Rattus norvegicus: one gene and its partner. The protein of the gene in region 1 purifies or fractionates together with the protein of each later gene. This does not show direct contact. Links are inferred from orthologs where the notes say so. Each region holds a gene or a part of one and is shown in the gene's direction. Other genes may lie near its edges. The genes, in order: Snx33 and Dnm2.

Region 1 (4,602 bases):
GTATTACACTCAGGCTGGGACAAGTGTCTTCCCATGGCATTTGGCTACACTAGACAGGAACACCTTGCCTACCTGTGAGGATACTTATGACCTTCCAGAAGATAAGCATAGTTGCGGTTAACTTGTTGGTTGGGATATATAACTTAATGATGAGACAGACTGTGTGAATTACAAACCAGAGGGGCACAGCAGCAATCCAACTGTTGAGATTCGCTCCAGAGTTCAGGGCAATTCCTGTCTTAAATAGCGCTCATCTAGTTTTTGCATAATCTGGAGGGTCAAATCCTGGAAGCCTAGAGGCTATCTACCAGACCACTCCTCTCTCCTAGCTATTTGCTGCTGGCCTGAATGGAAGATCGGGCTCCCGCGAAAGGACAAAGCAACCAGAATCCGCCTGTGCCTAAGCTTGTAACTTGTCAGTGCAGAAGTTTGTGGTCTTACGCACTCCCCCCTCAGCCCCCCCACCCCCACCCCCCACCCCCTAGGAGCTGCCTAAGGCAGGAGGGCTCCTCTCCCCAATCAGGCTCACAGCATTTGTTATCACGTGCAGGACACCAGGCTGGGAGCTTACTGCCTCCACCCTCTGAGAACAATCCCGGAGCTGTGTTAGTCCCTAGACAGATAAGAGTACCCGAGGCTGGAAAGGAGGCTGGGAGAAGGGAGTCCGCAGCTCTGTTCCCCTGCAGTTGGGGCGGTTCTCCTAGCTCCCTCCTCGCCACTCTGCGCTCCGCAAACTTTCGGAGTTTTCCTGCACTTGCGTCACGGAAAAGGCAGATGGATGACCAAGTCAAGGAGGCGAAGCTCGGCGGCGGCTGGCGAGCTCCCCCGCGCGGCGCTCCAACCCCAGTGAGAAGCTACTCTGGGCGCCCGCAACTCGGCTGCTGAAAGCTCGCAGCTCCCCGACTCCCGGGTCCATTTCCTGGATCCTGGCCACCCGGACTGAACCCGAGAGAGAGAGGGCGCCCGCCAGAAGGAAAGTGAGCGGAAGGCCGGCGGTGGCACCCTGGCCGCGGGAGGGAGGAGCTGCGCGGTCCCAGCCCGGCCAGGACGCACGGAAGTGCGGTAGAGTTTGTTGAATTCCGTAGCCTGCTTTCCCTCCCTCATACCTCCCTTCCACCCTCTCTCTCCACCCCTCACCTCCCCTACAGTTTTAACCTCCTTCCTCCGAACGCCACCTCCTGGACTCCCTTTTCCCCCTTTTCTCTCTCTTTTTCTTTTTTCTATTTCTTTTTCTTTTTGTTGTTGTTTTTTTGTTTTGTTTTGTTTTTTAAAGGAGGTTGTTTGTTTTGGACCTGGCTTCCTGCTGGCAGCGCTGAAGGGCTGCGAGTGAGGGGTAAGGAGGCAAGAGGCTGGGTCTCAGCTACTCAGCTAGTCCCTCTCGGGTCGTATCCTGAGGGCATCGCGGAGAACGAACCTACAGACGGTCCGACAAACACCCGGCCACGCCATCTATTCGACAGAGCTCTATCTACCGACTGCTGTTGAGTGTCTGGGGGCACATCAGGGGCAGGGATGGTGATGGTGATGGTGGAGGTTTCTACTAGCTTTACTTCTGGACAGGGGTTCTGGGTCTCCGATCCGGGTCAGCTTCGTACTCTGAAACTGCCGAGGAATTAGGCAAACAAAAGAGGCACTGAGAGAAAGAGGCCAGAAGTCCTCTGCGCCGCTTGTCGCGCCCCCTTGTTATCTGGGGGTGGGGGCTGGCCATTTGCAGGGCGGGAAGAGGGCACCAGAGCGGGTGAGACCGGGTCGCACCCCCTAGGTCGAGTAGTTATCGGCTGGTTGTGCAAGCTTTGGCCCTTGTTTTCCTGGCCTGGCTCGTTTGGAGGCCGGACACATCCACCCTTGGAATTGGTTCAGGACTCTGCTGTTATTCTCCTTGCCCCTCTTGGATTTTCTGGATTCTTGAAGACTCGGTGGCCGGGGAGGAGAGAGGAAGGAGGAAGGAGCAGATCTTCAGAGGAATGTGAGAGCCTCCCAAAGCCGGAGCAGCCAGTAGGAGCGGAGAGCCAGGAGAGGCAGAACCTTGCCTGCGTTTCTGGGACCGTGGTCTGAGGTTAATTCTCTTCCTTTGTACAACATTGTTCTAGTAGAAAGTGTCTGTCCCGTTCTTGTTCTAGCAGAGCTGGTTTCTCCAAGTCATTTGACTTTTCTGCTTGGTGTGTGGGGAGGGAGAGACTCGCTCCTTTTCATGGGCTGCAAAGGGAGAGGAGAAAGACTGCGGCCATGACCAACCCCTCCCTGCATACAGGCAGATACCCCAAGGCTGTTTCTGGACCATGGACACTTCTTTGACCAAGAGGCAGTTAGACAGCATCTGTGCAGCTGAGACCCTGTCCAAGGGGCTCAGTAGGGCGTACTAGACTTTGAGCTGCAAGCACTTTTCTTTTGGACTCCCTGCTGGACAACCTGGGTCTGGGCAAGGCATTTTCCTTCCAGTCTTGACCTAACAGATAACTTAGCCATGGCACTGAAAGGCCGAGCCCTCTATGATTTCCACAGCGAGAACAAGGAGGAAATCAGCATCCAGCAGGACGAAGACTTGGTTATCTTCAGCGAGACCTCACTGGACGGCTGGCTGCAGGGACAGAACAGCCGTGGGGAGACAGGGCTCTTCCCTGCTTCTTACGTTGAGATTGTTCGTCCTGGCATCAGCACCAACCATGGGGACTATTCCAACAGCCCTGCAGGCTCCCTGGGCACCCAGGTGAGTTTGTATAGCAGCCCTAGTACGGCCAGTCCAGCCAGGAGTAGTGGGGGCAGTGGCTTCCTCTCAAACCAAGGAAGCTTTGAGGATGATGATGACGATGACTGGGATGACTGGGATGATGGATGCACAGTGGTAGAAGAGCCACTGGCTGGTGGCCTAGGTACCAATGGACACCCTCCACTTAACCTCTCCTACCCGGGTGCCTACCCCAACCAGCATATGGCTTTCAGACCCAAGGCACCCCTGGAAAGGCAGGACAGTCTAGCGTCTGCCAAGCGGGGCAGTGTTGTAGGACGGAACCTCAATCGTTTCTCATGCTTTGTACGCTCTGGAGTGGAGGCCTTCATCCTTGGTGATGTGCCCATGATGGCCAAGATTGCTGAGACCTACTCCATTGAGATGGGCCCACGTGGGCCTCAGTGGAAGGCCAATCCCCACCCATTTGCCTGCTCCATAGAGGACCCCACCAAGCAGACCAAGTTCAAAGGCATTAAAAGTTACATCTCCTACAAGCTTACGCCCACCCACGCTGGCTCACCTGTTTACCGCCGTTACAAACACTTTGACTGGCTATACAACCGCCTTCTGCACAAGTTCACAGTAATTTCAGTGCCCCACCTGCCTGAGAAGCAGGCCACAGGCCGCTTTGAGGAGGACTTCATTGAGAAACGTAAGCGAAGGCTCATCCTCTGGATGGACCACATGACCAGCCACCCTGTGCTCTCCCAGTATGAGGGCTTCCAGCACTTCCTCAGCTGCCTGGATGACAAACAGTGGAAGATGGGGAAACGCCGAGCAGAGAAGGATGAGATGGTGGGTGCCAGTTTCCTGCTCACCTTCCAGATCCCCACAGAACACCAGGATCTGCAGGATGTAGAGGATCGGGTGGACGCATTCAAGGCTTTCAGTAAGAAGATGGATGACAGCGTCCTACAGCTTAGCACTGTAGCAGCAGAATTGGTGCGGAAACATGTAGGAGGCTTCCGCAAGGAATTCCAGAAGCTCGGAAGTGCCTTCCAGGCCATTAGCCATGCCTTCCAGATGGACCCTCCCTTTAGGTCTGAGGCTCTCAACAATGCCATTTCTCACACTGGCCGGACCTATGAAACCGTTGGAGAAATGTTTGCTGGACAGCCCAAGCATGACCTCTTCCAAATGCTCGACACACTGTCTCTCTACCAGGGCCTACTCTCCAACTTCCCTGACATTATCCACCTGCAGAAAGGTAAGCCCTTCATGAGTCTACTGGTCTCTGGGAACATGGGAGAGCCTGGACTATGAACAGCTCATCACACTCTCCTGTCTGCGTCTCCTTCGCTGGCTCAACAAGTGTGTTGACACGGTTCTCTGGAGAGTGCTGTTGTAGGCAGAGGGAGAGTGGGGACGCTTTGGTCTTTGTTCTTACTGAGCTCTGTGAATGCCTCTTGTCCATTGCGGTCATCGATTTGTTTTGGTTTCTTTCTTTCTTTCTTTTTTTTTCTCCTGTGTCTCATTTATCCCATCATGTATGGAACCCCAAGGTATTACTCTGAGTTCTGGGAACACAGAGATAACCAGGTCCCAGGTCTTGTCTTAGATGAACCCATGGGTTCAAAGAGGATCAAGACACAGGTAAGAGCACACTGCAGGTTATCTTTCCCCTCTCAGAGGCTCTCTCTTCACAGCCTCTAAGCACAGACTCCCTCTCTGGCCTGTCTGCTAGTCACTATCACTGCATTATCTGTTAGCCACTATCTGCCCTCTTTTTGGCAGATGAAGTCTGTCCACGGGAGAGTGGTTGCACACAAGTCTGTGGCTTAGCCAGCACTATCCCTTCCTCCCTCCAGCTCCCCAAGGACACATTCATATTGGCAGCCTCCCAGGCTGGTCACGTTTTCAGTTCTCATGGTCCC
Region 2 (4,388 bases), about 38 Mb from region 1:
GAGATGGCTCAGTGGTTAAGAGCACAGATTGCTCTTCCAGAGGTCCTGAGTTCAATTCCCAGGAACCACATGGTGGCTCACAGCCATCTGTTATGGGATTTGGCACCCTCTCTTGGTGTGTCTGAAGACAGCTACAGTGTACTCCTATACATAAATAGATAATTCTAAAAAATTAAATGTTATGTGAATTTTTAAAAAACTGTACATCGGTGTGTTTGCTTGCATGTAGGTATGTGTGTCATGTCTGTGTCTGATACTAATGGAGGCCAGAAGAGGGTGTCAGATTCCTGGAACTGGACTCACTGATGGTTGTGAGCTGTCATGTGGGTGCTGGGAACCAAACTTGAGTCTGCTCCAAAGGCAGCGAGTACTCTTAACCACTGAGCCATCGCTCTTGGAGCAAAAAATAAAATAAAGTAAAAATAACCCTAGAGTTGTAGCCACTGGTAAAACATTTGCTTAGCTTCATGAAACCGTAGACTCAATCCTTAGTAATATACAGATACAGGCATGAGAAGACGAGAGTACTTTTCTGTGAGGCAGAAGTGTCCACTTATCTTCACTGGCATTGGGATTCTTTCAGAGCTAGGAGTTGTGAGGCTTTCTAAAATACAAGTTTTCACTACAGCCTCAGAATTCAGGTGTGACAATCACTGAACCTTATCCACGATGTTCGCCTCCCTGAGTACTGTGGCCCTTTGCTTTAAAAGAATATCACAAAGTGTTAAAAAATGCCAGGAAAGCTGAAAGAATTTTTATGACGCGGTTGTCAGTCAGGATTGGGACGCTAGTAACGTGTATCCTAGCAAGACCGGGTGGTGGACACAGGGGGAACATCGAGAGTTTGTAGCCAGCATACAGAAACTGTATAGAAACTGTATAAAAAGATTACGGCTCTTCTTTTCTCTTATTGGTTGGAGTAGAGAAGTGATATTTATATCAACCAATGAGAAATTTTTACGGAATTAACTAGTGTCAAGTGACAATCCAGTGTAGAAGGATTGATTCCTTACACTATTGGCAGGTTGACGTTTTGTGTGACCAATAAGCCAACGCGCATCCGTGAGCTGAGGCCTCAATGTCTTTCCCAGAGACCCCGCCTTCCCGGTCTGACAACCCGGCTCGATTTCTATTGGCTTTCATTTAAGAGTGACGGTTTTATTACCCAGTGAACTTGTGAAATTAACCCTTCCTCGTGCCTTTTTTATTGGCTCACGTTCTTGAGTGGCAGTGCTATTGACCAATTAGATATAGCATTAGGGCTGCGGGCTCCACCCCGGAGGCCGGGAGGGGAGGTTGCTCGGGTCGGGTGTCGCCTGAGAACCGGATGAGGCGGTGACTGTGAGGCCGAGCCGGGAGCGGGCGTCGCGGCGAAGGGGAGCCCGGGCGGGCTGGCAGAGCAGAGCAGGAGGAAGCAACGGCCACAGACGCATCGGGACCGCGAGTCGTAGTCGGGGGATCCGCGGGGCGGAGGCGGGCACCATGGGCAACCGCGGGATGGAAGAGCTCATCCCGCTGGTTAACAAGCTGCAGGACGCCTTCAGCTCCATCGGTCAGAGCTGCCACCTGGACCTGCCGCAGATCGCCGTGGTGGGCGGCCAGAGCGCCGGCAAGAGTTCGGTGCTCGAGAACTTCGTGGGCCGGTGAGCGAGCGCGCCGGCGGCGGTTCTGGGGCTCCGGCTGGGAGGGCGGGCGGCGGCCTAGGGCGCGGAGGGCGGGCGGGGAATGGCGGAACTGCGGCTCGCGGACGCCTCAGGACCGGTGGCATTGGGTAAGGTCTGGGGCAAGAGTCTCCATGACTTTTCTCAGAGACTGGAGATGGAGATCCAGGTCTGGTACTAGTCGATGATCGTGGGTGGTGTTTGGGGCAAGACGGTCAATGCAAACCTCTCTTGGTGCATCTAGTTCCGGCTATCGCTGGGTAACTCTGACATCGCTTTGCCTGTGATCTGTGGTGATCCACTCCTCTTTTCTCCTGCTGCCTGGAAGTCTTAGTGTGTGTGCTGTTGAAGATAACACTTGCCACCCAGCCATCCATGGGGGATGACCCCTGGGGTCTGTCTGGCCAGTTATTTATCTGGAGCCTTCTCTCTTGTCTGGTTAGCTGGTTATCCGTTCTGAACAGGCTTCCTACGGGCACCATTTGGTTGTCCCATCTGTCCAGACCCACTCTGAGGTCCACCGTTGTCTGGCTAGCCATCTGAGGTGACCTCTCGTGTGCGAATGCCCATCTGTGCCCCTTATTTACTTGAGTGGGCCTCTGCCATCTGACCTGCTGAACTTTGGTAGCCTCTTGTTATCTGGTTCTCTTGGGCCGACTGACTCTTGTCTTCCAAGTGAATCCATCCATTAGTCTGTTCTCCATTACCGCCCAGGCACCCCTGCCTGTCCATCCTCTCTGAGTGACAGAACTCAGGGAACTTGGGAAGAAACATTCTGTAGGGTTCTTTCCTGGCCCAGGATCCCCAAACCCGTCAGATGACTTCTAAGCTAAAGCCTCCCAGTTGGAATGCTCTCCAGACAGCTCTGGGAGCCTCAGCTTCTTCCATCTGTCCAGTGGGCAAATTCCACTCGCAGCTGTTTGTAGGATCCAGGAAGTGAGTGAAGAAGGGATGTTGATTTACTCCTGTCCCTCCCCCTCTGCCTTGCACACAGCAGCACTTCTCCATTCCAGGAAGTGCTCCATGTATGATGCTGCAGTGTGTGCCCAGTGATAACATTTGCTTTGCTGTGGACATTATCATTGTGTGTGTGTGTGTGTGTGTGTGTCCAAGTGTGTGCCAGAGTGCACTTGTGGAGTCAGGGGACATAATCTTTGTAAAGTCCTTCCAATTCTCTGTGGGTCCTGGGGAATCAAACTCTGGTCATTAGGCGTTTGTCCTCCCATCTTAAATTTTAGAGACATGGTCCCTCACTGAGCATGAAGCTCACTGATCAGCTAGTCTGGTTGGCCAGTGAGTTCCAGTGATCCACCACTCTCTGCCTCACCCTAACATTGGGACGGAGACAGACAGACAGACAGACAGACAGACAGACACACACACACACACACACACCCTGTGTTGTGTGTTTTTGTTACCAGTCTTGTGGAGGCAGGGCATCCCTAAATTTGAGGCTAGCTCACTCTACATAGAGTTCTAGGGCAGCCAGGGATACATAGTCAGACCCTGTCTCAAAAACCTTCAAAGTTGATGCAAGGCTGCAGGGACTGGGTTGTTGGAAGTGTTTATTTAGGCTGAACCTGTGACCTTAGGGACGTGGGAGTCTGAGGCAGATTTCTTGAGTTTGAGGTCAATCTGGCCTCCATTGTTAGTCCTTGTCTCAAAAAAAAAAAAAAAAAAAAAAAAAAAAAGGCCAAGAGAGAGCTGTGGGCTAAGCTCAGACATAGAGAACTTACCTAGCATGAATAAGACCTTGGGGTCAGTTCCCAGCACCAATTGATAACAAATATTATCGATATTTATGTTTTCTTTGATTGCTTCATACTCAGAGATCTTTCTATGACTGTGGCTTTAGGTGCTGAAATAAACATTTTATGTATATGCATATGCACATATCCATGTTTGTTTTGTTTTGTTTTTAAGACAGTGTTTCTCTGTGTAACTGAACCCTGGCTGTCCTGAAACCCCCTTTGTACACCAGGCTGGCCTCTACCTCAGTTGACGAGATTAAAGGCAAGTGCCACCAAGCCCAGCTATTGATTCGTTTTTTAAATAGCATCTCACAACATAGACAGGCTGGCCTTGAACACACCTGCTTCTGCCCCCTGAGTGCTGGGATTAAAGGTGTACAGCACCCTTCCTGGTTTTTTTTTTTGTTGTTGTTGGTTTGTTTGTTTGTTTTGAAACAGTCTCATACTGTAGTCCAGGCTGACCTGGAACTTACTGTATAGCACAGGTTGGCCCCCAGAATTGTAGCAGCAGTTTTCAGATTTCATTTTTCAAGTGCTGGGATCAGGTATGCACCACTATGTCTGGCTTAAGACATAGTGATTACTCTAGAATGCCATAATGTACCTGCATTATGCGGCCTCGGTAAGAGGGTCCCACTCAGTCCCATTCTCTATTTCCTGATGTGAATTTTACTAAACAGTCAGAACTGAGAGTCTATTCTGACCCTACTGCTGTTTCCTCCTTCTGCTGTTCTTGAATGTCCATCAGTGGACATCTGGCTGTCAGCCAGGAGCAAAGGAGAGAGTGTGCCAAGCACCTAGGGACAGCTCAGCCTGCTTCCTGTCAGTGCCGCCTTAGATTTTTCTAAGAACATTAGTGTACTCTAGGACGTCTGAGTTGGCCCAGCCCCTTGCCGAGGTTTGCATACAGATTGCTAACCCTGGAGGCCAAGGACTTGAAATGTAACAGGTTTCGCATGAGGTCCAGATGTCTACA

What was found.
Region 2: the proteins of Snx33 (region 1) and Dnm2 purify together in Homo sapiens (co-immunoprecipitation; 3 studies listed by BioGRID and IntAct, with this or other methods). This does not show direct contact. The link is inferred for Rattus norvegicus from reciprocal best matches to the Homo sapiens genes SNX33 and DNM2.

What each region holds. Positions count from the first base shown.
Region 1 is NC_086026.1:66,220,464-66,225,065, reverse strand, and holds the start of Snx33 (sorting nexin-33), read left to right. Parts: upstream 1-1,556; 5' UTR 1,557-2,464; coding exon 2,465-3,935; intron 3,936-4,602. UniProt on the Homo sapiens protein: Plays a role in the reorganization of the cytoskeleton, endocytosis and cellular vesicle trafficking via its interactions with membranes, WASL, DNM1 and DNM2. Acts both during interphase and at the end of mitotic cell divisions.
Region 2 is NC_086026.1:28,253,215-28,257,602, forward strand, and holds the start of Dnm2 (dynamin-2), read left to right. Parts: upstream 1-1,374; 5' UTR 1,375-1,482; coding exon 1,483-1,643; intron 1,644-4,388. UniProt on the Homo sapiens protein: Catalyzes the hydrolysis of GTP and utilizes this energy to mediate vesicle scission at plasma membrane during endocytosis and filament remodeling at many actin structures during organization of the actin cytoskeleton.